7 linked regions of the Rattus norvegicus genome follow. The protein of the gene in region 1 purifies or fractionates together with the protein of each later gene. This does not show direct contact. Links are inferred from orthologs where the notes say so. Each region holds a gene or a part of one and is shown in the gene's direction. Other genes may lie near its edges.

Evidence for each region.
Region 2: the proteins of Usp15 (region 1) and Tgfbr1 purify together in Homo sapiens (affinity purification with western blotting; 4 studies listed by BioGRID). This does not show direct contact. The link is inferred for Rattus norvegicus from reciprocal best matches to the Homo sapiens genes USP15 and TGFBR1.
Region 3: the proteins of Usp15 (region 1) and Prpf3 purify together in Homo sapiens (affinity purification with mass spectrometry; 3 studies listed by BioGRID and IntAct, with this or other methods). This does not show direct contact. The link is inferred for Rattus norvegicus from reciprocal best matches to the Homo sapiens genes USP15 and PRPF3.
Region 4: the proteins of Usp15 (region 1) and Smad4 purify together in Homo sapiens (affinity purification with western blotting; 4 studies listed by BioGRID). This does not show direct contact. The link is inferred for Rattus norvegicus from reciprocal best matches to the Homo sapiens genes USP15 and SMAD4.
Region 5: the proteins of Usp15 (region 1) and Smad7 purify together in Homo sapiens (affinity purification with western blotting; 3 studies listed by BioGRID). This does not show direct contact. The link is inferred for Rattus norvegicus from reciprocal best matches to the Homo sapiens genes USP15 and SMAD7.
Region 6: the proteins of Usp15 (region 1) and Psmd7 purify together in Homo sapiens (affinity purification with mass spectrometry; 3 studies listed by BioGRID, with this or other methods). This does not show direct contact. The link is inferred for Rattus norvegicus from reciprocal best matches to the Homo sapiens genes USP15 and PSMD7.
Region 7: the proteins of Usp15 (region 1) and Glul purify together in Homo sapiens (affinity purification with mass spectrometry; 3 studies listed by BioGRID, with this or other methods). This does not show direct contact. The link is inferred for Rattus norvegicus from reciprocal best matches to the Homo sapiens genes USP15 and GLUL.

What each region holds. Positions count from the first base shown.
Region 1 is NC_086025.1:60,642,681-60,645,933, reverse strand, and holds the end of Usp15 (ubiquitin carboxyl-terminal hydrolase 15), read left to right. Parts: intron 1-1,858; coding exon 1,859-2,041; 3' UTR 2,042-2,323; downstream 2,324-3,253. UniProt on the Homo sapiens protein: Hydrolase that removes conjugated ubiquitin from target proteins and regulates various pathways such as the TGF-beta receptor signaling, NF-kappa-B and RNF41/NRDP1-PRKN pathways.
Region 2 is NC_086023.1:66,480,198-66,484,352, forward strand, and holds part of Tgfbr1 (TGF-beta receptor type-1 precursor), read left to right. Parts: intron 1-777; coding exon 778-1,017; intron 1,018-3,329; coding exon of another isoform or gene 3,330-3,341; coding exon 3,342-3,572; intron 3,573-4,155. UniProt on the Homo sapiens protein: Transmembrane serine/threonine kinase forming with the TGF-beta type II serine/threonine kinase receptor, TGFBR2, the non-promiscuous receptor for the TGF-beta cytokines TGFB1, TGFB2 and TGFB3.
Region 3 is NC_086020.1:186,078,469-186,082,623, reverse strand, and holds part of Prpf3 (U4/U6 small nuclear ribonucleoprotein Prp3), read left to right. Parts: intron 1-1,203; coding exon 1,204-1,510; intron 1,511-2,089; coding exon 2,090-2,256; intron 2,257-4,155. UniProt on the Homo sapiens protein: Plays a role in pre-mRNA splicing as component of the U4/U6-U5 tri-snRNP complex that is involved in spliceosome assembly, and as component of the precatalytic spliceosome (spliceosome B complex).
Region 4 is NC_086036.1:69,539,405-69,543,559, reverse strand, and holds part of Smad4 (mothers against decapentaplegic homolog 4), read left to right. Parts: intron 1-3,539; coding exon 3,540-3,752; intron 3,753-4,155. UniProt on the Homo sapiens protein: In muscle physiology, plays a central role in the balance between atrophy and hypertrophy. When recruited by MSTN, promotes atrophy response via phosphorylated SMAD2/4.
Region 5 is NC_086036.1:71,261,574-71,266,522, forward strand, and holds the start of Smad7 (mothers against decapentaplegic homolog 7), read left to right. Parts: upstream 1-1,934; 5' UTR 1,935-3,356; coding exon 3,357-3,969; intron 3,970-4,949. UniProt on the Homo sapiens protein: Antagonist of signaling by TGF-beta (transforming growth factor) type 1 receptor superfamily members; has been shown to inhibit TGF-beta (Transforming growth factor) and activin signaling by associating with their receptors thus preventing SMAD2 access.
Region 6 is NC_086037.1:52,405,745-52,408,791, reverse strand, and holds part of Psmd7 (26S proteasome non-ATPase regulatory subunit 7), read left to right. Parts: intron 1-88; coding exon 89-181; intron 182-735; coding exon 736-833; intron 834-1,556; coding exon 1,557-1,637; intron 1,638-3,047.
Region 7 is NC_086031.1:68,574,249-68,578,986, forward strand, and holds the start of Glul (glutamine synthetase), read left to right. Parts: upstream 1-1,817; 5' UTR 1,818-1,936; intron 1,937-2,287; exon of another isoform or gene 2,288-2,309; intron 2,310-2,600; exon of another isoform or gene 2,601-2,925; coding exon of another isoform or gene 2,926-3,014; intron 3,015-4,579; coding exon of another isoform or gene 4,580-4,592; coding exon 4,593-4,738. UniProt on the Homo sapiens protein: Glutamine synthetase that catalyzes the ATP-dependent conversion of glutamate and ammonia to glutamine.

The sequences.
Region 1 (3,253 bases):
TATTCCAGCAGTGGTACAGCTGGGTCTGTGGCACTTCTCAGCTTAGCATTTTAGAAAGCTCCATACTGAGTTCCATAAAGGGCTGTACCAGTCCACACTCCCGCCCGCCTGCAGGAAGTGAAGCTTCCACTTTCCATACATCCTCAACAGCACTCGTCATTTGCATCTTGATCTCAGCCATTCTTACTGTGGTTAGGTGGACTCATAGTTTGCATTCTTGTTGGCTAAGTGTGGCTCATATTTAAAACTATTGTTTATTGTTTCTTTTGAGAACTGTTCACTGGCCCATTTATTGGTTGACACTTTTGTTGTGGGGGTTGAATTTTTGTAGTTCTTTATTTAGATTTAAACCCTGTTTGAAATATATGTAGTAAAGATTTTCTCCCATTCTGTAAGCTGTCAGTTCATTCTGCTCATTAGTTTCCTTTGCTCTGCAGAACCCTTCATCTCCTGTAGTGTCCTATGTTCATTCTTGGTAGCCTGGGCAATCTTATAAAGTGATAAAGGAGCCATGAAGATGCTCAGTGGTTAAAAGCACTGGCTGCTTTTCCAGGGACCCTGGGAACTCTTCCCAGAAACCAAATGACAGCTCACAACCATCTAACTCCAGTTTCAAGGGATCCAGCGCCCTCTTCTGGCTTCTATAGAACCAGGTTTCTCATTGATGCTCAAACATACTTGCAGACCAAACACCTATACAAAGTAAAAACAAATTTAAATAAATTATAAAAGATACACCTTTTATTGGACACTAGCTCTCAGTCAGGACATGAAGCTTCAGCCTCAGTTGAATCCTTCATAGATAGGGGTGGGACAGGTGGTCATGCTCAGGTGCACCAGGCCCTCCGCGGTGACCCCTCTTTGGTGGTAATTGTATCGATCATAACCTCTATGCAAACCTCCAGCAGTGCCGTGACGGGGTAAAGTTCCACATCAGTACCCAGCTTCCAAGTCTAATCAACAAGCTACTTCTCCTCCAGTGGCTCAGGCCATGCCACCCTGCAGTCCTGGGTTAGCAAAGCCCAGTTGCCTGCAAGGGCTGCTGGGAAGGGAATGCATACCCTTGAAAATAGTCCTTTGAAATGAGTATTTTCAAGTTGGGAATGGTAGCACACACCTTTAGTCCCAGCACTCGGGAAGCAGAGACAGGCAGATCTCTGAATAGGAAGGCAGCCTAGCCTATAGACTGAGTTTTCCAGGACAGCCAGGGCTACACAGGAAAGCATGACTCAGAAAACCAAAAAGAAAAAGAGATGTCTTTCGCATATGTGAATTATACAGGAACAGGTTTCTGTATGACATTTCAGGGGTGTGAGTAGTGTCCTTCGGTAAGCTTTATTCTCTGGACTTGTCCCATCTACTCCTGCCCTTTTCTGTTCCTGATTGTCACTTTTGTACTTTCTTTTTTTTTTTTTTTTTTTTTTTTTTTTTAAAAAATCAGTGTTCTCCTAATAAATACTGGAGAAAAGTTCAACATGTTTAACCACCTGAGGAAATGTTATATAACAGGAAAAGTTGCACTAGAGGTCCAGCATAAGCTGAAACACTTGTTGTTAGATAGAAAGATACTCAACCTTCAAGTAAATAGAAAAACTATTGTGTTTTATATTATGGTAAGTATGTTAATTTATATTTTGACTATATATATTTCTTAGTCCAAATTATATAGAATTAACCTGTTTATTTTTAAATATAGAAATAATAATATTTAGCCAATTTTAGTTGCTTCCTTATGATCATGTGTAGTTTTACTATTTGTTTTTTTGTCACTAAAATTGGTTATTAGCTAAAACTTTGTGCCATATCAGCTATGATTTTTGTGTGTTGCCACCATTGACACACCTTACTTGTTCAACAGTCCAAAGCAGCATACGTGCTCTTCTACCAGAGACAGGACACTTTCAGTGGAACTGGCTTCTTCCCTCTCGACCGAGAAACTAAAGGTGCTTCAGCTGCCACAGGTGTCCCCCTGGAAAGTGACGAAGACAGCAATGATAATGACAATGATCTAGAAAATGAAAACTGTATGCACACTAATTAATGAAAGTCCAAGAAGCCATACGAGAGAGAGAGAAAGAGAGAGAGAGACTTTCCTGCCGGTGGTATCTGTGGAGACGGAGTTACCCACCGCATTAAACAGAGGTCTGAGAGGAGGCGTTTCAGATACCCGAATGTAAATCCTTTATCAGATTTTAACTTGTGCAGTACTTGAAGTGAAACACAATGAAAACTTTAACAGAAATTGTCTCTTAATACATTTACAGTCTTGTATTTACAAGCTAAATATATATAGGAAATCACAAATAAATCCCTTTTAAGTTTGCTGCTGTTTTGATCAATTATGTTTTCTTTAATTTTTGGATGTGACTTAATTGATGACAAATGTTAACTTTGTGGATGTTGGTCATTAATTTTGCTCTAATAATACTGCAAGGAAACTCTGGCTGAACTTGGTTCTTGGGTAATCTAGTCCTGTGCGCTAGGCTGGCTGTCTGCACCTCTCGGGTACTTAGCTGCTGTCAGTGTGGCCCAGACACTGCAGTGCCCTTGGTACACCAGATCTCCCAGTCTGTCTGTCCCTGGTAATCAGTGTGGGTCTGTTACCACAACCCGAGGAGCAGCCTTGAGGAAGTTCCCTTTTGTTGTATCATTAAAGTGCAGAACATTACGTTTATCTCGCTCACTGTGGGAACACGTTCTAGATTTCACATGCCATCAAAATCATTTTCAGCTACATGTAAGTATCTTTCACTGCAATTGGAATCTATAAATTTTTCAATTTTGTTTTGGTTTAAAATGCTTATCTTCAATTCACTGTTGGTTAAAATGAAAGGTTTCATGTTTTGCTGTCTATTATTCTCCACTCCATTTTGGTAATTTGGCAACTTTTTAGCTCTCCCAGTTACTATAGCTTTAAGGCAGGCTGGTTAGTACTCTGTATCTGTACTAAGAATTGCATCAAAGTTAGGCGAGGTTTTCTGTTCATGTACTAGCCTTTAACTCATTGCTAATTTGGCTCTAGAGGTAGGTCTGTTAACTTTCTCTGTGTATTCCTGATGGAATTCACCATAGCCTTACAGCTTCTCTCAGAAGGTAACTTGTATAAGAGAAATAGCATTTGCATGTTCGTTCCACAGTCAGAACCTGTGCAGCACATGACGCATACAAACCTTGGGTTTCATTTAGCTTCTCACAGTCAAGGATCCAAGACGCCAAATATATATGTGAGCATTTGATACATTTTCATTTGCTG
Region 2 (4,155 bases), on another chromosome or scaffold:
ATTTCCAGGATGGATATGGGTCTCTGAATTCAAAAAGCTTCTATTTTCTTAGGGGAGAAAATAATAAAATCAGCATTTCTGGTAAGCTGTGTATACTTTTGGGGGAAGCACTTAACCCCATTAGAGAGTATGGGTATGTATGACAGAAGATGTTGGTGACAGCAGACACTTCCATAAAGAGGTCATTCCTAGAGTTGAGTCTTAAGATCTAATAGATACAGTGGGCATATAGCCATGTTCCATATGGCTAGAATATATAAATTGTTGCTGGAATAATCTTCCCTATACCAGTGGAAAGATACATGTCTTAGGGGTTGCACAGGATGAATAGAAAATCTGTGGCTCAATATGAATGTTTCTATTATTTCATTACCACAAATCCACTGAAATGGTGTTTCCAACCTGTAGTAAATTTGTGACACTATTTTCACACATTGCTCTGTAGAGGTGTGTGTGTGTGTGTGTGTGTGTGTTTGTGTAATTTAGTATTAGGAACAAGTATAACTTTACTGTATTTCAAATGGGAGGGCAGATGAAATTTTGTGGAAATTTTTTCTAGGAGGCAAATTTTGGTGGGTGGGGGAGGCTACGTCAAAATTTTACCAAATCACCCTGGCCTGTATATATGTGTAATTCTTGGACATTCTATGAATAATATGTTCATTATTTGAACAGTGCATAAATTGTTATAATAATTAAAACGTAGTAGTGGTGTGAACTTTTAAACTTAACCTTGGTACTCTTTTTTTCTAATAAAACCTTATTCTCTTTCTCTAGCATTACAGTGTTTCTGCCACCTCTGTACAAAGGACAATTTTACTTGTGAGACAGATGGTCTCTGCTTTGTCTCAGTCACCGAGACCACAGACAAAGTTATACACAATAGCATGTGTATAGCTGAAATCGACCTAATTCCCCGAGACAGGCCATTTGTTTGTGCACCATCTTCAAAAACAGGGGCAGTTACGTATTGCTGCAATCAGGATCACTGCAATAAAATAGAACTCCCAACTACAGGTAAGTTGTTGTATTAGCACCCTTCCTTCCTTCCTCCAAGATGCTAAAAGAAAAGCTTCTAGACTGCCTACAAATTTAGAACTGCAAGTGTTTACAGAAATTGTCAAGCCTGACTTGTTGAGGGTAGAGGCAGAGAGTTGCCTTGTATATTTATGAGTAGCCAGGAGCCTGACTCCTGGGTATGTGTTAGAGAAAGCAGTGCCCAGAGACTCTCAGTGAGATCTGCTATGCATGCAATGGTAGCCTCTTCAAAGTGAATTCTAGAATCTCATAGGGTAACATGTTGTTAGGGTTTTCCTTGCCTTGTTCTCAGAGTGAATTTCTCATTTCTCATTTCTCGTATGGTATACTTACATCTTAAGGCAACCCAATGAACAGCCTTTTAATGGGCAGAAATCGAGTGCACCAACCAGTCTAAATGTTTCCATTTTGTATTATGTTACACTATGATCTGTAAGTATAAATTAATATTTAATACTTTTTAAAAAAAGATCCTCTTTCAGAGGACCTAGGTTCAATTCCCAGCATTCATGTGGTGACTCCAGTTCGTGGGATCTAATGCCTACTTCTGACCTCAAGCACCAGTCATGGATATGGTGCACAAACATACATATAGGCAAAATATCCATACACATAAAATAATAATAAAGGGTTCTGGTATAGCTAGTAATTTAAAACTTAATGAATTAAATGGAAATTTTCCACTTTCTCTCCAAGTCCTGAATTCTTATTTTAATAGTCAAAGGAATATAAAATGGGAGAAAACCTATATTAATACTAGCAGATTTAATGGAAGAATGAATACTGCTTACAGGCCAAAACTGTGAGTAATTTCTGCAGAGTGTGTGTGTGTGTGTGTGTGTGTGTGTGTGTGTGTGTGTGTGTGTGCGCGTGTGCGTGTGCGTGTATGTGTGTGTGCGCGCGTGTGTGTGCGTGCGCGTGTGTGCATGTGTGCGTGTGTGTACACTCTCCTTTGGTTCCTGTGGGTTGAAGTCAGGTTCTCAGACTTGGTAATAGGCATCTTTTCCCACAAGCTGTTTTGCTGGTCCAGTAGAATTTTTATGGGGAAAAAGCCTCAGTGCATTTAAGACTGATTACCAAAAAAGGAGGAAAATGTTCAGATTTTCTACTTTATTCCAGTATCAGAGGGCAGTAGAATATTATATATTGGTTATCACCCAAAAAAGTAAGCCTTTTAGAAAGACTTTTCTTATACAAAGGTTAACAGTTGTCTTCAGATATCTAATTAAGTTTACAGTATATAAGGATTTAAGATTCTTCCTGAAAGAATATTGCTAGAAAGAGAGTTTTATATGATAAATTAACCTAAATGATGATGTCAAAAATGAAAAAAAAAATGGCAGGGAGCAGTGAACCAAGTTAACTAAGTAAAGTTTGGTAAGTGCCAAAATTATTATTAATATAATTTAAATACTATATTTGAGATTATAATATCATGTTCTCCCTTTCCATTCCTCCCTCCAAACCCTTTCATATATCCTCCCCATTTCCTCTTTTAAATTCCTGGCCTTCTTTTCTTTAATTGTTGACACATTTAAACATATTAATGTGTTTTTGAAATGGTAAATGTTAATTTATTTAGAGATTATAAGAAAATAAATGTAATTAAAAATGCAGTTGGCAAAAAATAGTCTAGAAAGAATATGCATACACAAACTATTTTAAAAACGATCTCCGTGCTGTCAGGCAGAGGGTGAAGAATCCCAGGTTTGAGGCCAGCCTGGACGAACTATGTGCTAAAACCCTGTCTCACAATAAGAGAGGGAAAGGTTTAAAAATGTATAAATAGAGTAAAAAACAAGAGTAAACAGAGGAAGTCTTTATGCTTTAAAAAGTTGGTGGAAATGTATACACTAAAGTATGAGCCTTTGAAGGATCACAAGGAAGCTGATACTTTGTAAAACCTTATTAACTATATTTATATATTTTCCTCTGCTATAAGCCTACAGTAGACTTGGAATATGAAGAAAATTTATTTAAAAAAATGAGTTATTGGAAGTTGTTTCAAATAGTTGGTTCCATTTCTAGTTTACCTGAAGTGACAAGCAGGGAAGGAGGTCTAGGATGGTGGTCAGCTGATGCACTCAACGAGAAATGAGAAGATGGTCCAGGGACGCCCAGGAAGAGTGAGAGGGAGGCCAGACAGAGGGGAACTTGATCTTGCCTTGAGCCCTGTGTGACGGGGCTCTGACTAAGTGATAGTATTGGACGCTTGGGAAAATATGGAGGATTTGGGAAATGTGAGTGCCACCTACAGTGTTTTGTTTCTCTTGATGTTTATTTCATTTGAGGACCTTTTTCAGAAAAGCAGTCAGCTGGCCTCGGTCCTGTGGAGCTGGCAGCTGTCATTGCTGGTCCAGTCTGCTTCGTCTGCATTGCACTTATGCTGATGGTCTATATCTGCCATAACCGCACTGTCATTCACCACCGCGTACCAAATGAAGAGGATCCCTCACTAGATCGCCCTTTCATTTCAGAGGGCACCACCTTAAAAGATTTAATTTATGATATGACAACATCAGGGTCTGGATCAGGTAATGTTATTGTTTATCTTTTTCTTAAGTCTTAATATGTCTATTTTGCTATTTTACTTAAGTAGTTGGTTAGGGCATTTGGCTTAAATTGTTAAAACTTTGGAAGAGTATGAGTGCTATACCAGACTGCGGCCTAATGAAAATTGTTGAGCTTGCTGTCTATCTGACTGGATACTTTAGTGTAGATAAATTGGAACTTGGTTTCACCATTGAAGCAAGTAAGTCACTTCCACAGTTATATAAACTTCCAAGCATCCTCCCCTCTAGAATGATATTTGCTTTTCTCGAGTCGGGAGGTAGAAAGTAGGACACTATTCTTATCATGATAGAGCTGCGGTTAAGAGATGCAGCTACCATTCTGCAGCTCGAAGACTGTTCTCCTGGAATTTGGAAGCTGTTAGCCTTTTTAACATGATATGAAATTGTTGTTTTAACAAAAATTTGTGTGCGTGTGCACGCGCATGCATACATGCATGCATTTGCACACACATACCTGCCAACCACGGTATACATGTGGAAATCAGAGAACAATTTATAGGAGTCAGTTCTCTCTTCCCACTGTATGGATCCTGGGAAACAAACT
Region 3 (4,155 bases), on another chromosome or scaffold:
GAGGGTTTGGTGGAAAGGTGGCTAGTAGTTCAGAGTACTTGCTGCTATTCCAGAGGACCAAGGTTTGGTTCTCCGTACTCACAGGTTGGCTATCTTTAAGTCTGGTTCTGGAGGACCTGAAAATAAATTTTGAAAAAGGAGAAGAATTTGGGAATAAAACAAGATTAGATAATGACCAGGTGGTGGCAAGAGCACATGTCTTTAATTTCAGTATTTAGGAGGCAGAGGCAGGGAAGTCAGAGTTTGAGGCCAGTCTGGGCTATATTCCAGGATAGCTAGGGCTACACAAACCCTATCTCGAAAAACCAGGGGGAAAAAAGAACAAATTTTTCTCAATATGATTTTAGAATTAATTTCATTTGATTATACCCTGTTTCCAAATACTTGGTTTGATGTATTTTTTGTGGGAGCCCATGAACTTGAATGTGCTGTACAAATTCTCAAATACTGAGATATATCCTCATCATGGTTTGATGTTTTATTTTATATTAACTCTTAGCTAAAAAACAGAACTAATTTACATTTTTTGCTGTTTTGTTTCAAGATTTATTTTATGCATATGAATATTTTGCCTGCATAGATATCTTTGTAGCTCCTGGGTAGATGGTATCTTCAGAGGTCAGAAAGAGGCCTAGAATTCCCTAGAACTCAAGTTACAGGCAACCGTAAGGCCCAACTGGGGTTGAAAATCAAACCCAGGTCCTTTTCTCAACTGAGCCATCTCTTCTCAGTCCCCCTACTCTGATTTTTTTTTTTTTTTTTTTTTTTTTTTTTTTTTCCGGAGCTGGGGACCGAACCCAGGGCCTTGCGCTTCCTAGGCAAGCGCTCTACCACTGAGCTAAATCCCCAACCCTGATTTTTTTTTTTTTTTTTTTAAGATTTACTGTCTGCAGACACACCAGGAGGCATTGGATCCCATTATAGATGGTTGTGGGTCACCATGTAGTTGCTGGGAATTGAACTCAGGACCTCTGGAAGAGCAGTCAATGCTCTTAACCACTGAGCCAACTCTCCAGCCCTCTGATTTTTTTTTTTTTTTAAATGGAGATTTTACCAAGCCTAAGCACTGATGAGATTGCCTTCCCTAAGGTTAATTTACAATTGTCTTTGATAAGTCTGATTCCTTTTGTTTTCTGTTGGGTTTTCCTTGCTTTGTTGTTCCATGTAGGATTTATTTCTTTGGGGGATGTTTTGTTTTTTCAGGAAAGTCGAGTTAAAAGATCAGACGAAGCCCACCCCACTGATCCTGGATGAGCAAGGCCGCACTGTGGATGCCACAGGCAAGGAGGTGGAGCTCACACACCGCATGCCCACCCTGAAGGCAAACATTCGAGCTGTGAAGAGGGAACAGTTCAAACAGCAACTAAAAGAAAAGCCATCAGAAGACATGGAATCTAATACCTTTTTTGACCCCAGAGTCTCAATTGCCCCTTCCCAGCGTCAAAGACGCACTTTTAAATTCCATGACAAGGGCAAATTTGAGAAGATTGCTCAACGATTACGGACAAAGGTAATTTAGAAGTTAAGAAGCTGACACAAAGACACTTTTAGGTCCATATATTTGGGAAATAGAAACAATTTAAAACAATGAGTAGTTGGTTTAAGTGGTCTAATATTCTTAGAATGTTTGTTGTTTACTAGATTTCTCTTCCTGACTGCTTTCTGCTTATGTAGATATTTTCCCATTGACTGACAGTTGAGGAGAACAGCTCAAAGCAATTTCTTGACTTCTTTTGTTGAACGATTGCCTGATTTTAAAATTGACTACAGGAAATCTATGTGCTTGGGAGCGTTGGATTGACTGTAGTTAGTTAGATTGACCCTTTTGTCTTCTCAGAGTGAGGTTTCTATGGACTCCCACCAATGTATGTCTACTGAAAACACGCAGTATGAGTGAAAGAGACAAGAGTTGGGGGAGTAAGTAAACCGAGTAAAGTGAGGCAGCTTCTCTTTCAAACCCTTGAGACGTTGTGAACTCATTACATTAGGTGTGAGAATTTAATAAGAGTTAAATTTGTTGTCAAATTTGTGTCTCTACGACGTTCTTTGCTCTAACTTACCTCCCTACCTTGTTTGGTCTTGCTCTTAGGCTCAGTTGGAAAAGCTGCAAGCAGAGATTTCACAGGCTGCTAGAAAAACAGGCATTCATACGTCGACTAGACTTGCCCTCATTGCTCCTAAAAAAGAGCTGAAGGAAGGCGACATCCCTGAAATTGAGTGGTGGGACTCCTACATCATTCCCAATGGCTTTGACCTGTGAGTTTGTTAAGTTACCAAGAGAAAGGTGCTAATACACATCAGATAACACTTTAAATGCAGAGGAGTAAATAACTACACAAACAGGTTTTCAAACCGACTTGACTTATGTTTAGCTTTTGGGGTTAGTGTACCAAAATCAGAGACCAGTAATGTGAAATGAGTCTGAAAAACATATATTTACTTTTTAATTTTTGTAGGGCTAGGGGATGAACCCAGGGTCTATTTTATCTTGGCATATTTTAGAGTTTTATGGTTTTTTCTTACTATGTATTCTGTGTATTTACCTGCTTATAAAGATCCATTTTTAGTTCAGTGGTTAAACATGTGCCTCGTCTGTAGAAGGTACTTGGGTTTGATACCAGAGCTGCAAAAAAGGAAAATTTATCACTGCTTTTTTTTTCCCCACCCTTTAAATTTAGTGGTGTGTGTGTGTGTGTGTGTGTGTGTGTGTGTGTGTGTGTGTGTACAGGCATGCAGATGTACAGGTGTGCCCATGTATAGTTTTTTATCAGTTTTTCCTTCTACATTGTTGAGACAGGTTTGGGAGGAGGGGTGTCTCTCTTGTTACCTCCAGTGTGTTCCACATAGGATTTTGCCAACCATTCACTTTTTTCCAGTTCCCATTTTGTTGTAAGAATGTTGGAATTTCAGGTGTGGGCTACTATAGTCAGCTTGCTTGCTTGCTTGCTTTTTTTTTTAAAGATTTATTTATTTATTTTATGTATGAGTACAGAGACATCTTCAGAAGAGGGCATTGGATCCCATTACAGACGGTTGTGAGCCACCATGTGGTTGCTGAGGGTCGAACTCAGGACCTCTGGAAGAGCAGTCAGTGCTCTTGACCCCTGAGCCATGTCTCTAGCCCTACAGTCAGCTTTCTTTTTATTTTTATTGTATATGTATGAATGCTTTGCCTGAATAGCCTGCAAGTGTATGAATATGTGCCACATGTTTCCCTAGTGCCTGAGGAGGGCAGAAAAGACTGCCAGATGCTCAGGACCTGGAGTTGTACCCATTGACAAGTCATTGTGTGGGTGCTAGGAACTGAACCCTGGGCCTCTGGAAAAGCAGAAGTGGGTTTCAGTTAGTTGGGTTTTTTGTTGGTTTTGCTGTTTTGAGACAGGGTTTTTCTGGGTAGCCCTGGCTATCACTTTGTCACAGGCTGGCTTCTAGCTTCTGAGTGCTGGGACAAAAGGTGTTCAATACCACTGCCCAGTCTAGTAGAAGTGTTCTTAGCCATCGAGCCATTTTTCTAGTCCTCTTGCTTTATTTAGTAACTGATTTCTTTTCATTCTTTTTCTTTTCATAGGTTTTTTTATGTTTTTGTTTTCCAGGGAGAGATTTGATAGAGTCTCAATATGTAGCCATGGCTAGCTTGGAACTTACTGTGTACAGTAGAGTGTCCTTAAACTCAAAGACATCCACCTGCCTCTGCCTCCTGGGTGTTAACATTAAAGGTGTACCACCACTCCTGGCATCTTTTTGAAGTATGGGTAATACTAGTAATACTCAAAGCTTATGCAAATTAAGTAAGTGCTTTACTACAGAGTTTACAACCCCCTCTAGGACAAAGGTTCTTAATTTATTGGTCCAATAATGATGATGAACTTTATTAGCACAGTGTCACTGAGTTTGCTCAGTTGGCAAACTACTACTTTGCTGCTCAGTCTAAGATATTAATTCAGTAGTAAAAAGCCAGCTGTGGGAGCTCGGAAATTAAGAGCACTTAATTAAAGTAATCCAGCATCCACATGGCTTACAACCACCTGTAATTCCAGTTCCAAGGGATCCAACTCCCTCTTCTGACCTTTGTACATACCAGGCACACACATGGTACACATACATAAATGCATATGGAACACAAAACAACTCGTGTGTGCATACATGCGTGTGAGT
Region 4 (4,155 bases), on another chromosome or scaffold:
TGGATCACGTCCCCAGAAAGAGTGACCTGTTGAGATGCTTGCTGAGGGCGGAGGAAATACAGATGGGAGTAGAGTATATGACGAACTGCAGAAATGATGTTTATAATTGACATAAGTGTTTCTGTCATATTTTGTTAAGAATGTGTTTGCTCAGATATTTGTGTTTTCTTTCCTGTTACGTTTTTATCCTGAAGTGTAGCATCACTGAGATAACATCAGAGTGTAATTGTATTTGAGGTACTAAAAGAATGTCCTCCAAAAACATTGTCACCTTCTCTAAAGTACATAATGTGCTTCTGGTTGTAAGTGTGATAGTATGTCAGGTTAGGTGAAATTTTGACCTGATTGTTGGTTTTATTTGGAAATTAAGCATGAAATAAGATGTGATGGTGTGTTGGCTTGACAAGGAGTAGACGACTTGTCTTAGCTATTCTTGATGGTCAACTTGATTATATCTGGATTTACTAACATCCCAAGCCTACACTAGGCATACCTGTGAGGGGTTTTTACCTAATTGGATCATTTGAGGTAGGAAGACCTATTTTAAATGCAGACTGCTTGAAGTTGGAAGACCCACTTTAAATCTGACTGCACCTCAGGGCAGCCTATACAAAGGCACAAAGAATGTTTGTCTCTGCCTTCTTGCACACTCACTGGCAAGTTCATAGATCTTGCTGGTGAGGGGACGCAGTCCTTCACTGCTGCCAGAGCCGCCTCCTCCAGGATTCATGTATACTGAAGACTGCTGAGACACGGAGTCTCGTGCACTGAACCCATGCTGGATTCTTGGACTTTCCTTCAGGAGACAGCCATTGCTGGACTAGCTGGACTGCATTCTGTGAGCCACTCTAGTAAACCCTTTTTATCAGTTCTAGTCCTGTAGAGAACTGAGTCTTTTTTCATGGACTTAAAAAGTATAGACTGTATTTTTTAATTGGTTTTTTTAATAAGCAGCATAATTGGTCCATAAATGAAACAATATAGAAAGGTGTCTGGTGAAAGCTGGCTCCCAGTGCTCCCATCTCTGCTTGTGTGGTCACTTGGTTAGGTCCTAGTGTTTGCTTCCAGGGCGTCTTTATTTTTCATGCAGAAAATACATGCATTATTCCCTTTTTTATATATAAAAATCACAAACTGTGAACACTTCTGGGCCTTGGTGGGTTCTTTTTTTAAAGCAAGTATGTATGTGCATGTGGATGCATGCATTCCTGTGTGTGCACACACACACATGGGTGCATGCATGTGATTACTTGGCATCATTTCTCTTACTGTGAGTTTCTGGAACCGTTCTCAGGTGTCTAGCCTTGGTAGCAAATCATCTTCTGAGCCCCTAAATCTGTGTATCACCATAGTGTTTTGTGACTTGTTTTTTTTTTTCTCTAGGCTGGCAGGACTTCCAAACATACTCCTCCCTCCCTCCCTCTTTCCCTTCTTCCTCCCTCCCTCCCTCCCTCCCTCCCTCCCTCCCTCCCTCCCTCCCTCCCTCCCTCTTTCCCTTCTTCCTTCCTCCTCTCCTTCCCTTCTTTCTTTGCGCTTTTGAAATTTTTGGCAATTTATTTCTATACCTAAAAGTCAATGGAAAACCATTACTAATTCTACTAAAATAGACTCAGCATTTTAATTGAAAACCATAGTATAATTAAGTATAATTAATGTACCATATTCTAAAATACAGCTTGAACACATGCAGTATACTACTTAATTTTGGTGCAGTGGATTTGAGAACAAGCATATATTGTTACAAGTATTATGGGTGGATTACAGCTTATCACAGTCATCATTTCTTTGTCTCGAAAAATCTATTAAGTCTTTCAGAGGAGGAGACATCAAAGATTGGTCAGCAGACACTGTATTGCCAGTGCACATCTGCATAAACCGTAGCTTCTTGGCATGGCTTGAATACATTTTAGCATCATCTAGAACTGTGGTCACATATTGGAAGGCACACTTCAACATCTGATCATAGCTCTGGGCTCATAGTCTGTAAGCCCCATATCCCTCACGACTTGTGCTAGCATCTGTCCATTTTGAGCAGCCATCTTGTCAGACTCCATGATAGATGATGATCAGGCTTTTGGTCTTGATGTAAGTTCTTTCCTTAGCATGGTTTTTCCAACCCATGGAGTACCTGTGAGCAGTCTTTTCTCATGTGCCTAAAGTGTATCTTTTTTATGTTTGTCAAATCAATTAAAGGATAAGATGACTTTAATAATATGGCCGACAACCTAACACAGCTGAGAAAAGTTCCAAAGCTTACTGAACTCTCTCCTACATTTTTAACCCAATAAAACTCTCTGTAGTTCCACAGATAAGACCTACCATTTCCCTAATGTTGTGGTTCCTTTGGCTACAGCCCTCAGACTTGCAGGACAGGCAGGAGGTATGGCCCTCAGACTTGCATGATGGGCTTGGGCTATTTCCTCCTTGAATTTAATATCCTTGACTGAAGCAGGACTGTTAGAGAAATGATGAGTTCTCCTGGAGTGGACAGGATGGTGGCCTATGCTGAGGACCTTTTACTGACCTTTGATTGGCTCACCTGGCACCTCTTGAAGGTTGTTGGAACTCCGGCTTTCTGTAATGGCACTTACCGAAAGCTTTGAGATCCTCAGCCAAGTGGCATGTAAGAATGCTGAAAGAGCGGGGGATTAGGATCATATTGGGGAACATGGTCTCCTGTCACCTGACAGGCTTCCTCTTCAACCTGGAGTAGAATAAGCAGGAGTCAGTAGTCAGTGATCCATGCGGCTTTAGTGTGGGTGTTGCCAGTACTGTGGTGACGTTCCTCTGCTCATATTTACGAACACTTGGGCCATGTCAGAGACAAGTTGATTATCCTTCCTGTCTTAGTTTTGGTACTTTGGATGCAGAGCCCCTTGTCTGGAAGTTGGCTCTTAAGTTCAGCTAATTCAGTGGTCACCGTGTTAAGATGGTGCTTCTGCTTGCTGATGTCTTTCCATGTGGATTGCACTATCGCTTCAAGTGAGTCAAGCCTGTGAGAGATGGAGGAGTCATCGATGGACAGCGTCAGACTGAGTGCCTGCCTGTGTGCTTGTAGACTGACTCGGTATCTTTATGTTGGTGATCGTGAAAGAGCACTGGCGTGTGTGGTTTTAGGTGCCTTTTCTCAGGTGTGACAGCAGCACTGTCTCCAATGGCTTGAGGATGAGGTTAAACGTGGGAAATCCTCAGGGAGGCAGAATTCTTCTTCACCAGGTGAAGGCATAGACACATCCTATGTCTGATGGAGGGACTGAACTCATTTTGCTAGGCATTGGTTTTTACTTATTTAGATGATTATGTACTTCTAAGTTTGTCAGAAAACTGAAGAATATGTCTTCAAATTTCAGTGAGTCAAATTGATAAAATCTCTAATGTAGCTATAGCTGAGAAAATGCTTTTCTGCAATATGAAAAGCAATTCTGAATGTGAATTGATATTATGGTTAAGTTTTAGATACTGTCATATTACTTGGTATGTAGTTTTTTGTGTGTGTGAAAATGGAAGAATATAAAAATGTGTCTTTTCTTTTTGCATAGCTCCACCAAGTATGTTAGTGAAGGATGAATATGTTCATGACTTTGAAGGACAGCCATCCTTACCCACGGAAGGACATTCGATTCAAACCATCCAACATCCACCAAGTAATCGCGCATCCACGGAGACGTACAGCGCCCCAGCTCTGTTAGCCCCATCAGAGTCTAATGCCACCAGTACCACCAACTTCCCCAACATTCCTGTGGCTTCCACAAGTGAGTGTTGCAGTCAGATAGAGTCGTAAGTTTTCCTAACCATGGGATATGTATCTGTAGTCACTTGGAGCTGTTGTGGTCTTTCTGGTGCTGGGTATGGTATGGAGCCTGATACATGCCCGGTGAAGTCTCACTCTGGAGCCATACCACTCAGCCTGGAAGTAAACATATGTTAGGTTGGTATTTGAATTCGTTATGGAGAAAGTAGTGTTTGTAATTTGTTTAAAGTTTCTAATACTGACACACAGTCAAATATAGTGACTTTGACCGTGATCCTCAGTTGAAATTTACACATGTTGTTTACTAATATAGTGACTTTGACTGTGATCTTCAGTTGAAATCTTACACATGTTGTTTACTATTGTATGTGTGAGCACAAAGTCCCCTGTACTTTTCAGAGAGA
Region 5 (4,949 bases), on another chromosome or scaffold:
TCCCTCTTCCCCTCCTTCTTTGGTCTTGAGTGCTGTCTTCTCCCCAGTTTGCTTTAGAGTGCTCACACCCAATTCCAATAAGCGGCATTTTAATTTTTAGCAAAATTACTATGCTACCCAGTAACTGCCTACGTGCCACTATCTGTCCAGTCTTGTTGATGACGATATTGTCTTCCTTCCACAACTTAGGGCTCCCACGCCGGGAGAGGATCATGTGACAAACTTGTGGTTTTCTTTTTTTTCTTTTTTTTTTTTATCATATAGTGCGGTAGGGGAATGGTCTGCAGACCTAACTCCTACCTTGACTCCTACCTTGTTTGAGTTGCTAGTAACTCAACCCAGGACCTCTAATGAATTATACTTCCAGCCCTTGAAAGTATCTATCAGGTTAGAAACAGAAGTTACTGGTCAGAACATATAATTCCGGTTGGAAGAAATAATTACAGTCCACATTTGGTAAAAAATCTTTACCCCACCCCCATGAGTTTTATTACTATCCTGTTACAATTTCAAGAGACTTTTCTTTTTTCTTTTTTCTTTTTGGTTCTTTTTTTCGGAGCTGGGGACCGAACCCAGGGCCTTGCGCTTCCTAGGTAAGCGCTCTACCACTGAGCTAAATCCCCAGCCCCTCAAGAGACTTTTCAAAAAAACCCAATAAATATGTGAGTCTGGGTCACCATGCCAACTAGTTGTCTCAGTCACATTTAACACCCTAGTACTATCCTCAGACCAGCACCCACAGGACTTTCGCTTGACAAATACCTTTTCTAGTTCCAAGCAGTCACCTGCATCTGGGGATAGCTTTCTCTGGAACCTGAGGTCAAGGGAAAAACTCTCTGACCCCAAGTAGGCCCCGCATGCGATTGAATGCTCTAAGCAGGTCTGCTCACTGGGTAACGTTCGCGCGCCAGGAGGCCGAGTGGCGGGTGCCGGAGGTCTTCCAAGCCCGGAGGAAACCTGACGGCGGCGCGCAGGCGAGCTGCACCCCTCCTCCCTCCAGGATGCTGCCCCTCGCTGCTCGTCAGCCTGCCAAATGCATTCCAGAGCTGTGCACAAGACACACTTCTCCAGGCAGTCCTAGAAACCCGAGCCCGGAGCGGGAGAGGGCGGGAGGGAGCGCGGCGGCCGCTGAGGTCACATTCGCGCCGCCTCTCCGCCCTCGGCCGCCCGGCTGTTCCCTCTAGCGCACACTTCCCAGGGCCTCTGTCCTGGCCGGTGTAAATGTCTTTGAAACAGACAGCGATCTCCTCCCCTTTCCAAGGGATCCGCCGCCAGGGCCTTAAAACAAAACGAATGAATGAAGCGCCCCGGCGAGCTCCACTGGTCTAAATCGGGCCACTGACCGGCTCATTCCGCTCCAAACTCGCCCGCTCCACGCCCCCAGCTCTTCCGATTTCCCCCTGCTCCCCCTGGGTCTCCGCCGACCCCCGGGGCCGTCTCGGCCTCCCACCTCCCTCCGCCCGTGGGTACCCCTCTGTAGACCTGGGAGAGGGTGGCGGTAACTGGGAGGGGGGTTGAAATAGCTTTTAGAAACCCGATCTGTTGTTTGCGAAACACAATCGCTTTTTTTTTTTTAAAGCGACAGGGTGTCTAGACGGCCACGTGACGAGGCCGGAGCCGGGCGCGCCACTGCGCAGTGGAACCAGCCGAGCGGAGGGACGGGTGGGGGGGCGGGAAGGAGGCGGCGGCGGCTGGGGGCGGGGGAGGGAGGGGTAGAGGGGGGAGGGAAGGGGGCGGAGGCGGGAGGCCTTGCGGGAGGCGGCGAGCCCTGGGCACATTCGCTCGCTGCTCGGCGCACAGAGGATCTTGTCCCCGAGCAGCGCCAGCAGAGCCAGCCGGGCGCCTCGCTCGGTCCGCTCGCCGCGCCGGAGAGCTGCCTGAGACGCAGCCAGCCAGCCGGCGCCACGCCGCCGAGCGCTCGGCCCCGGAGTCCCTGAGTGCGGCGCGGCGAGCCCCCAGCGGCGGCAGAAGGACTCGAGCGCCAGGAGAGGGCGGACGGGGGACGAGGAGGCTCCCGGGCGCGACGAAGAGAGTCTCGGAGGAAGAGGCTGCGAGAGGACACCCGGGCCTCCTGCCGCCACTGTCGGGTCGGGGCCAGCAGCTTATGCGAGCAGCCCCAGCGACCACCCTCGGCCAGGAGAAGGGGCACCGGCAGCCCCCACGCTAGCTAGCCTGCCGCCTGTGCCCTCGGGGGCGAGAGCTTGCGACCCGCCGGAGCCCGCCGCCGCGCCGCCCTCCCCCGCGCTGACAGCCCCCCGGGGCGCAGCCGCCGCCGCAGCATCTTCTGTCCCTGCTTCCCCAGCGCGGAGGAAGTCCCCGCCGAGGACCTGGGCCCCCGGGAGCGCAGGAGGAAAGACCAGAGACTCTAAAACACCCAGATACGCAAGATTGAAGCAGCCTAACCAGACCTTTCTGTGGATTAAAAGAAATACGATTTTTTTTTTTGACAGAAGAAAAGGAAAGGAAGACCGGCGGGGTTCAGCAAGGAAAAAAAGGGGATGTAACTCGTGGATACGGTTTTTCCCCCCACCCTTCCAACATCTTGTTCTACTTTGTAAACATTTTCTCTTTTTAAACCCCGGCTCCATCCGGTGCCCTCCAGACCTCCGAGGTGCGAGAAGGTGGTGTGTTTTTTCACTGGGGGCTTTGCATATTTGGTTTTGGGGTTTTTGAGAGACCCTCCAGACATCTCACGAGGGGTGAAGTCTACTCGGCCCCCTCCCTCAAGTCTTCGCGTGCACAGAATTCGAGGAGATCCGGTTACTAAGGATATAGAAGAAAAAAATAAATCGTGTGCCTGCCTTTTTTTTTTTTAATTGCCTGCTTCTCCCCACCCCCAAATTAAGTTGCTTAGCAAGGGGGAAAGAGGCTTTTTCCTCCCTTCAGTAGCTCAGCCTAACGTCTTTCGTTTTTTGCCCCTGAGGATCTTCCATGTAGGAAGCCGAGGCTGGCGAGCCCGACACTCGGGAGCCACTGTAGGGGGGCCTTTTTGGGGAGAGGCGTCGACCGGGGCTGCCTCGGCCGCCCCCAGGGAAGCGGCGGCCGCGTTCCTCAGGGGCACGCCGGGGCCCGAGAGCCGCGCAGGGCGCGGGCCGCGCCGGGTGGGGCAGCCGAAGCGCAGGCCCCCGATCCCCGGCGGGCGCCCCTGGGCCCCCGCGCGCGCCCCGGCCTCCGGGAGACTGGCGCATGCCACGGAGCGCCCCTCGGGCCGCCGCCGCTTCTGCCCGGGCCCCTGCTGTTGTTGCTGTCGCCTGCGCCTGCTGCCCCAACTCGGCGCCCGACTTCTTCATGGTGTGCGGAGGTCATGTTCGCTCCTTAGCCGGCAAACGACTTTTCTCCTCGCCTCCTCGCCCCGCATGTTCAGGACCAAACGATCTGCGCTCGTCCGGCGTCTCTGGAGGAGCCGTGCGCCCGGCGGCGAGGACGAGGAGGAGGGCGTGGGGGGTGGCGGCGGCGGAGGCGACCTGCGGGGAGAAGGGGCGACGGACGGCCGGGCTTATGGGGCTGGTGGCGGCGGTGCGGGCAGGGCTGGCTGCTGCCTGGGTAAGGCAGTCCGAGGTGCCAAAGGTCACCACCATCCCCATCCCCCATCCTCGGGTGCCGGGGCGGCCGGGGGCGCCGAGGCGGATCTGAAGGCGCTCACGCACTCGGTGCTCAAGAAACTCAAGGAGCGGCAGCTGGAGCTGCTGCTTCAGGCCGTGGAGTCCCGCGGCGGTACGCGCACCGCGTGCCTCCTGCTGCCCGGCCGCCTGGACTGCAGGCTGGGCCCGGGGGCGCCCGCCAGCGCGCAGCCCGCGCAGCCGCCCTCGTCCTACTCGCTCCCCCTCCTGCTGTGCAAAGTGTTCAGGTGGCCGGATCTCAGGCATTCCTCGGAAGTCAAGAGGCTGTGTTGCTGTGAATCTTACGGGAAGATCAACCCCGAGCTGGTGTGCTGCAACCCCCATCACCTTAGTCGACTCTGTGAACTAGGTAAGAAGTTGTTCTGAGTCCACCTTTCGTTCCCTCTGGCGAGGAAATGCTGGTAGAAATGCTCGAGGGTGTGTGCATTATCTCCTGGAGGAGACAAGGGAACTAAATCAAAGAAGGAACGAGGGGGGGGAAACTCTGACATTCCTTGGGGTTCCCTTTCAAGATTTTGCTCTTGCACCATCCCCCCTCCCTCCAGAGGAAGAGACCCAGGGATACTGCTGCTTAGCCTTATACTGAACTGACATGCTGCAGAAAACGAGACACTCTTATTTCCGGGTATGCAAGGGGATACAGAGCAAAGTGGGGGATCACGCTTCCCCCGCACCCGGAAAGGCGTTGAGGTGTGTGGCCGAGTTGGATTCGGCCCAAGCCCGCCAAGGAAGGCTGGGAGAAACTAGCTTTAAAGGCTGGAGAGTCTCTCCTTTAGTAAATAAGGACAGTCACGTGGGGCACGAGTGGCCCAGATACTGTCCTGGCCTCCCAGCTTTGGAGTTTGGGGGCAGTGGTAGGATGGAGACTGAACTGGGTATCCAGTCTCAGCTGTGCACACTTCGGGGCGAGAAGGAGCAAACAGCCTGGAGAAGTTGGGTGGCCTCTACTTTTTTATCTTTATTTCGCACAGAAAAGCGTACAATTAGTGGTCCTTAGAACGCCCGACACTCCCACCCCTGCGTTTCAGTGACGTCCCTCCCTGCACCATAATTGGCCTGGGCTTCATGGCCGGGACCCTGAACAGGTTCCTCCCCATATTATCCTGTTAGGTTTTCCATGCCTTCTGTTTGCTCCTTGTCTTTGTGCTCAGGGTAGAGGATCATGCCCTGATCCCTGCAAATCTTCCAAGTTCACCAGCAGCTCACTTGGGTGTTTTTTTTTTCCCTCTCAGGTGGGCTGGCTGGGTAGGATTCCCTAGTGCGTGGGTGCCAAGCTCAGCAGTGGGGGCGGAGGTGAATTGTGCTCCTAGTGGCGGGGAGGGCCGGAGA
Region 6 (3,047 bases), on another chromosome or scaffold:
AGGCAGACACCACTGAGGTTCCTCTGGCTGAATTTCTAGCTCCTAGGTAAAGTCTTTCTATTTTCTCTTTTTTTCTCTCTCTCTTTAGTACCTTTTGATGAAGATGACAAAGATGATTCTGTCTGGTTTTTAGACCATGATTATTTGGAAAACATGTATGGGATGTTTAAGAAGGTCAATGGTAAGTCTGAGTGTGTGTGTGTGTGTGTGTGTGTGTGTGTGTGTGTGTGTGTGTGTGTTTAAATCTGGTCTCTGTATATTGTCAAGGATCGATCCACTTAGCTGGACCAAGTGAAAATAGACTGGTAGTGATAGAGAAATGAGGTAGAATGAATAAACCACAGTCACAGTCTGAGGCTGTGTAGACTACCCGGGCTGGAGGCTGTGCTAGCCCTGGAGGCTGCCTGCCCTAGAGCTCCAGTGCTAGCCAGGTGCATTGACGCTACTGAGTGCTGCACACACGGCTCTGGGCCCACCTACCCACCCCACGCCCACGCTGCTCCCTCACGTGTGACTGGACCCTAAGCAAGTCTGGGAGACAGATGTCTCCAGGCTTCACTCTCTTAGAATTCTGTTTTGTAGTTTTAGATTTCAAAGATGTGTCAAGATTTATTTTTGTCTGGAATTCTCAAAAAGGTAGAAAGCCTAAGTAAGTGCTGGTGTTCTTACTGTTTCTGAGTCGGTGGCACAGATCTTGATGAAATAATTAAAACTTACTAAGGTTTTGCTTCCCAGCCAGAGAAAGAATAGTTGGGTGGTACCACACAGGCCCCAAACTGCACAAGAACGATATCGCCATCAATGAACTCATGAAGAGATACTGCCCCAACTCGGTAAGTACACTGTCGTCAGAACACTGTCATCAGAACACTGATGCTCTCTGCCCCTACTCAAGTAAGAGCCTCCTCAGAAGGCCTGGGTAGCCAGGCATGCTTTTGTGTCTCCAAAGCCTTTAGCAGTAATGTGGAGCTGTGTTAATTTGGTGTGACTTAGTATATTTAATGGCACCTGCTGGTGCCATGTACATCTGACTTAATCCTCTCAGAAACTGGATGTTGGCTTTATAAATGAGGAAACCGAAGTGAAGTATGGCTAGAGGGCCAGCAAGGTGGCTGTGTCAGTGAGGAAAGACCCTATCACCAAACCTACAAGGTCTCTGCCTGGACCCACACTAGGAAGAGAGACTCCCACAATTCTGTATATTCTGTGTCTCTATCTCACTGTCTCTGTCTCTGTCTCTCTCTCTCTCTCCTTCTCTCCCTCCACCTTTCTCCTCCCCCCCCCCTTTCTCTCTAGAAAAATGCAATGTTTAAGTGTAAAAAAAATTTTTTTAAGGTTAAGAGTGTAAATTAAAAAAAAGATCTGGTGGGGAGTGAGGTACAGGTTGGAATTTGGACAGGTGAACTGTGGGTCACATGAAATGTCAACTTATTTTCGCTGAATATCCGGCTTGTTTCTGATTGAATGAAGAAAGTGGTGTGAGTAGTCAGAAGAAGTCTTGAAGTTGTACCTTGTGTCAAAAAGGAAGGCTCTTGCTAAGCTGTGTTCTCTGCCAGGTACTGGTCATTATTGATGTGAAGCCAAAAGACTTGGGGCTTCCGACCGAAGCCTACATCTCAGTGGAGGAAGTTCATGATGTAAGTCCTGCTTCGGGCTGCAGAATGGATTAGCAGGTTCTCGGGTGACTTTGGGGGCTTTTTGGTTTGGTTTTGTTTTCTTTTCCATGTTCAACTCAACAACTCTTTCTCTGTAACAAAGAGAAGGTTGAGTGTGGCTAGCAAACCAGCCTTGAGTTTTTTAATCATCAAATTTTAGAAATAGAAAAGGATTGAGGAACCTGCCATCCTTTTTCACTAAAGAAACTGAAGCCTTGGTGAGTGACTGAGGTGAAGCCCAGAGTTGTCATTGAGACCAAACAGTTCAGTGCTTACACCTCAGAGACCTTCACAGCGAGGGAAAGGGAGGTCTGGGAGGCTTCTGCTCTAGTACAGTGGGCAGTGCACTCGTGAGTCCTTCAGACAGGCCCTGGGTTCTCAAACATAGCAAGACAGCGCCATGGTGAGACCTGTGATCTTTGTGGCTGGGATTGCATTGAATAGAGCACTGAGCAGTAGCCAATCTTTCTCTATCCTCAGGAAAGCTGGTTTGGAGCTCTTTGGTAAAGCCTGATGTAGCAGGGTTGGGGGATGGGCACAGAGTATTTATCAGGGTGTCCAGGAGCCTGGTCTTCAGAGTCAGGAGGGATTAAGAGTGTAATACCTCTTCTTTATGGCTTTAGGATTTGAAAAGGGTGTTCTAGGGTGGTGCCCTCCCAGCCTTGCACTAAGCCTTGTCCTGTTCTTTTGCAGCCCTAAGGAGCTAGGTCCAGATGTTGTTTGATGGCATTAAAGCTTTTACCCCTGGTTCCTTACCCGTTGTCCTGAAGTTCTCAGGCCATCCTAGTGTCCAAAGACTAGAGTGACCTTTAGGGAGTCCCCATGCTGCCCTGAATAATATGAGAACCAGCCACACTCCAGCAGGTCCAATGTGTAACGTGACTTGAGAGACTTGCCCAAGGCCCTGGGGCTCACTTAGCCAAACTAGTGGAGCCCTTAAGTCTGAGGAGCCCTCATAAAAGATCATGACCTCTGTTGGCAACAGGGCTGAAAAGTTCCACCATTGAGTCACCAGATGGTGGAGTGACCAGCCCCTCAGTGGATGCTTTTTGGTTCTTTTTTTTTTTTTCCTCGGAGCTGGGGACCGAACCCAGGGCCTTGCGCTTCCTAGGTACGCGCTCTACCACTGAGCTAAATCCCCAGCCCCATGTGGATCCTTTTATTCTACCCTCTAGTTACTCTCTGTCACACTGGGACTACTCGGTCATGTGATCCAGGGGACAGTACGTGTTGGCATGAATGTGCCTCAAGTGCGGGTATTCTGTATTTCCATTCTAGAAATTCTTAACCTGAGTCTTCCGTGCATTGCTCCACCCCACCAGTGTGGGCTTGAGGGAATGCCCCAATTTTCCTTGACAAGAAAGCTTTCCTCAGAGAACAATGTAGTGGCAG
Region 7 (4,738 bases), on another chromosome or scaffold:
TCACAGGACAGCCAGTCTAATAAGTTGGGTCGATGAAAGACCCTGTCTCAAAAAAAAAGTGGAGAGTGACAGGGTGACAGAAGACGACACCCTAAAGTCAGCCTCTGACCTCTATGTACATGGATGCAACAAGTAACACACATACACAGAGAGAGACTAACCATGGAAAGAAATGATCCAGTCTCTCCAGCTTATACTGCCCTGTGAGGTGACAGTGTTTTCCTAATACTCTTCATGGTCCAGTTCCCACTGCTACAAATGCTAAGAGAGCTTGGGTAGTTATTAATTTGGCTATTAATCAAGGTGGCAAGAGGTGAGGTACGAATCTGGACTTGGGTTTGCCTGATGTGAAACCCCGCTGCCGAACGCCGTGCGAGTAGAACGCTTCACACAGCTGAATAGGACACTGGATTTGCAAGGTGTCTTTCTGGTCCAAAGCATACCAAAAAGCCCGTTTGAGGTGGATGCAGCTTCTGTGAGCCACAGTGTTAGACACACTTAGGGGAGTTGACAGAGGTTGACTTAAGAGGCCGAGCTATGTGTGTGTGGTCACAGGCAACATTTCTTTTTCATATTTGTGGTGCAAAACATAACCAGAAGAACAAACTCCATCCCTTCCTCTTCCAAAGGCACCAAGAGCATGGATTTCTGGTGTTAGAAAATCTCCATCTCAAACACCAGGGCTCCTGAAAACATATAATAAAGACCGGACATGAGGTAGATTTCATGTACTAGACACAGATTGCTCAGAACGTGGCATTAATAATATATGGGCCACGTCTATTTTTACAGGTAATTTCTGTGCACATTTTCAGTTTGTCTCATAGTGTTTACACATTATCTCAGCCAACACTGCAGGGTTAAGAAAGGAAAGAGAAACTCATTCCCCCCCCCCCCGCCCCGCTCCCCACATACTTAAAAACAAACAAGAAGCAAAAGCAGGGATTTCTTTCTTCCCTTGCTTTCTTATTGTTTGTTGAGACACGTTTTCTCTGTGAAACCCTGGCTGTCCTGGAACTCCCTCTGTAGACCAGACTGGCCCCGAACTCCGGAGATCCACCAGCCTCTGACTCCTGAGTGCTAGTACTAAAGGTATGTGCCACCACCACTCTTTAGCACACGGTCTGCATCCTGACTTCAAGTCTGGTGGACCGCTTTGAAAGTCCTTCCATCTGCTTTATTTTGCAGATCTAAGGAACTCGGGCACTGAGAGGCTCAGAGACTTGCGAGACACACAAGGCAACGTCAGTCAGTCTACGGTCCTCAAAAATCCTCTTTATAGAAACGTCACACTTGTGTTTAAACCGTGAAATCACAGCCTGATCACATCCCCCAAACCCAGTCAGGAAGCCAGGAAGATGGGGTCCTCCAGGTTCCGGGAATCCTGTCTGTCTCTGGCTCGCTCAACAAAGGGTAAAATTCTCTTCTGGGGTTCTGGATTTTCACCGACAGATCTCTCCGAAAACCTCTGTACTGTTAAGGTAGCAAAGGACCAAGGCCAAATGACGCTGAGACAGTCTCAGCCTGGGTCCGAGGGTCCAGAGGTCGCTAAAGAACGCGTGCTGCAAAGGCGCACAGCACCTTCGGCCCCGGCCCCCCAGCCGCCGCTGCCTCCCCTCCCCCATTCCCCTTTCTCTTTCTTTCTTCTGGGTCGCTCGCCCCACCCCGCGGTTCCTCACGGCTCCTGGGCCAATGGTCTCAGGGCCCCGGTGCACAGCAACTGATGGGCACGGGGTTCCAGGCCTAGGCCAGCCAATCAGGGCGCCTGGGGGCGGGCACAAGCTGCCAATAAAAAGTACTGAGCAGCCCGCAACCCTGCACAGCCGAGAATGGGAGTAGGGCGGAGTGTTTGAGCAGCACACCCATTTCCTCTCCGCTCTTCGTCTCGTTCTCGTGGCCTGTCCACCCATCCATCATCCTGCCGGCCACCGCTCTGGTAAGCGCACGGAGGGTCCAGGGGTGCACAGCCACCCGGGCTGTGGCGTCGCACTCTACATCCCAGCTCCAGTCTGTTGCTGCTTGGCGCGGGATGCAGCGTTCGTGCCTCCCGCGTGCTTGTAGCGTGCGGCTCGGGCCGGCTCTGTTTGGCGTTCCTAGGGCGCGCTGTGAGCCAGGCTCCGGGAAGGGCGGGGTTGCGGGTTGTTATGATCTGTTTTTTACTTGAGGCGGGAGGCGCCGCCCCGGAGGCGGGCGTCCTGGGTTGGCTACCAAGCCGAGATCCGGGGCGACTCGGTGGTCCCAGCGGGAGTGCGCTCTTCTTGCCTTAAGTGGGCGCCGGCGCCTTGATCCTCTCTGGGCGGCGCGATTGGGTGAGTTGTCACGCTGTGGGTGGTCTGGTTGAGGCTGGTGGTCGTTAGCTTTGGTGGCACCACTCGCCAGCACGCAACGCCTTTACCGTATGACCGAACAATGGAGAGCCGGGACCCCGGAGTGGCCGGAGGGCTCTGCAGTGGAGAGGCGGGGCCGGGCGGAGGCAGCAGCAGCACGCTGTGCCTCCCGCCGTCGCTCCACTCTCGCCGTCCGGCCTCTGTCCTCGCCGGGGTATGGCCCCTTGGGAGAGGCCTTGAGATCTGCGGGGGTCCGAGAGTCGGGGCGCCGACTTTCCGGTTATTTTAGTGGGAAGGGCTGCTTCTCAAAGTGGATTACCCCAACTCCTCCGGGGGCGGGAAGCGGGGATCCTCCCCCAACCGCAAATACTCAAAGAAAGCACCGGCTGAAGACATAGACGATGGAGAGTCTCGGTTCTCAGAGTCCCCTTCTAATACCTTCGGCTTCGTTGCCTACTCTGTGAACAACGGGGAGAAGTCGAGGGCTAAGGTTAAATCCCACCAGCCTACTTATTCCAGCACCTCCCACTCCGAACGATCTGGGTCCCCCATCCCATCGCCCTCACCCAGAAAGCAGCGTTGCTTAGACCAGCGAGAAATGGAGCTGGAGGAGAGGAACGAACACTACTCTAAAAAGAGGAGGATTAGAGAGTACAACCTCAATGTATTTGATTCACATTGGCTGGGGTGAGTAAAAAGGCAGGGAGAAGGACCCGGGTGCATCTGGCAACAAGCAGAAACTACTCAGAATCTTAAGAACCCGTTCCACTTTGCACCACAGGGACACTAGTTGGTGCTAGGTACACTAGGCTGCTGGTACCCAACTGGTTTCCAGGAACAGAGGAGGAACCCAGGTTCACCTAAAGATTGTTAAATGCTGGATGTGTAAGCCACAGGAGAGGCAAGCCGAGAGAGAATTGGGTGGTGTAAGTTGAAGCCATCTGGAATTACAGTCCAGGCCTCGGAGTGGTGTAGGTAGAGGTTCTGGTTCTGTGTAGAAATCCACCGCAGAGATTCATCTGTTCCCCAGGGAAAGGGTTAGGCTTTTGGAGGGAGAAGCACTTGTTTTCACTTGGGCAAACATGGACAGTTGCCCGTAGAAACTTTGCCACTGTACTTCAGAAAGTTGCCCAAGTCGCTGGGAGGAGAACAATATGTTCCCTTTCCATCTATCCTGGGTGATTAGGGAGGGGGATGTTTCCTCTTGGGTTGAGGCTGGTTTTGCAGGCTCTGATTCATAGAGGATCTTGTCCCCTGCTCCTGTGACTTGTAATCTTGTGCCCCCGGGGTCTTTATTAGAGGTGGGATTTTTTTCTACTCACCAGAAAATATCATCTGGTGGGATCTTCTCAAATACTGTAATTTTCGCATTGAAATCTGTCTCTGGAGGAAGGACTTTTCATCCCAGTAATGAAGTCAGCCATTGAGGCCTGGTGTAGAGGGGAATACCTTTAATCCCAGTTCTCAGGAGACCGGTAGATTGTCTGATTTCAGGAAATCTTGGTCTTCATAATGAGTACCAGGACAGAGAGGGCTTGTAGAGAATTCCGTCCCCCCCCCCCCAAAATCAGCAGTGTACTCGTTCAAGTATGGCTTTTACTTTTCACCACATTAGTGGTGGCATTTAATACAGGGTTGTTTTTCTTTCTCCGAGGAGTATGTGAGTGTGTAAAATCTTACTAGCTCCAGTGTATCATTGTTAAATCTAACTTGGCAGTGGCACACACTTTTAATTTTAGCATTCGGGAAGCCAAGGCTGGCCGATGTGGGTATGAGGCTAGCCTGGTCTACATCGCAAATCCCAGGGCTACATAACTAGGTAAACCGTCTAAATGCAGGGACTAGGGGTCATGATGGGGTGTGCGTGTCCCTTAAGGTTGTTACAGGAATAGGAGGTGACAAAGGAAGGCTCAACAGTCCATTAGTCAAGGCTTTCTGTGGCAGTGAGGTAGTTCTGTTGGGTGGAATGAGTTATGTTAATGAGCTTTTTGATATTTTGTTCTGTTTTACTAATGTATCTCAAGGTTAACAGTTATTAAAATCCCTTAACTAGTCCCCCTGAGGGGGACGATCTTTGTCTAGTAGGAAACGTTAAACCTCTTGCAAACAGAGTGAATAAAGCACCTTTTACGTGTGTTGAGTCCCAAAGGAGAGAGAGCACGGTGCCCTCCATCCAGTCTGACTCCTTTGCCACTCCTGCAGGGGATCCCTTTGGAGTAGATGTTAACCGAACGATCTTCGTCTCTCTCCAGAACACCTTCCACCATGGCCACCTCAGCAAGTTCCCACTTGAACAAAGGCATCAAGCAGATGTACATGAACCTGCCCCAGGGCGAGAAGATCCAACTCATGTATATCTGGGTTGATGGTACCGGGGAAGGGCTACGCTGCAAGACCCGTACTCTGGACTG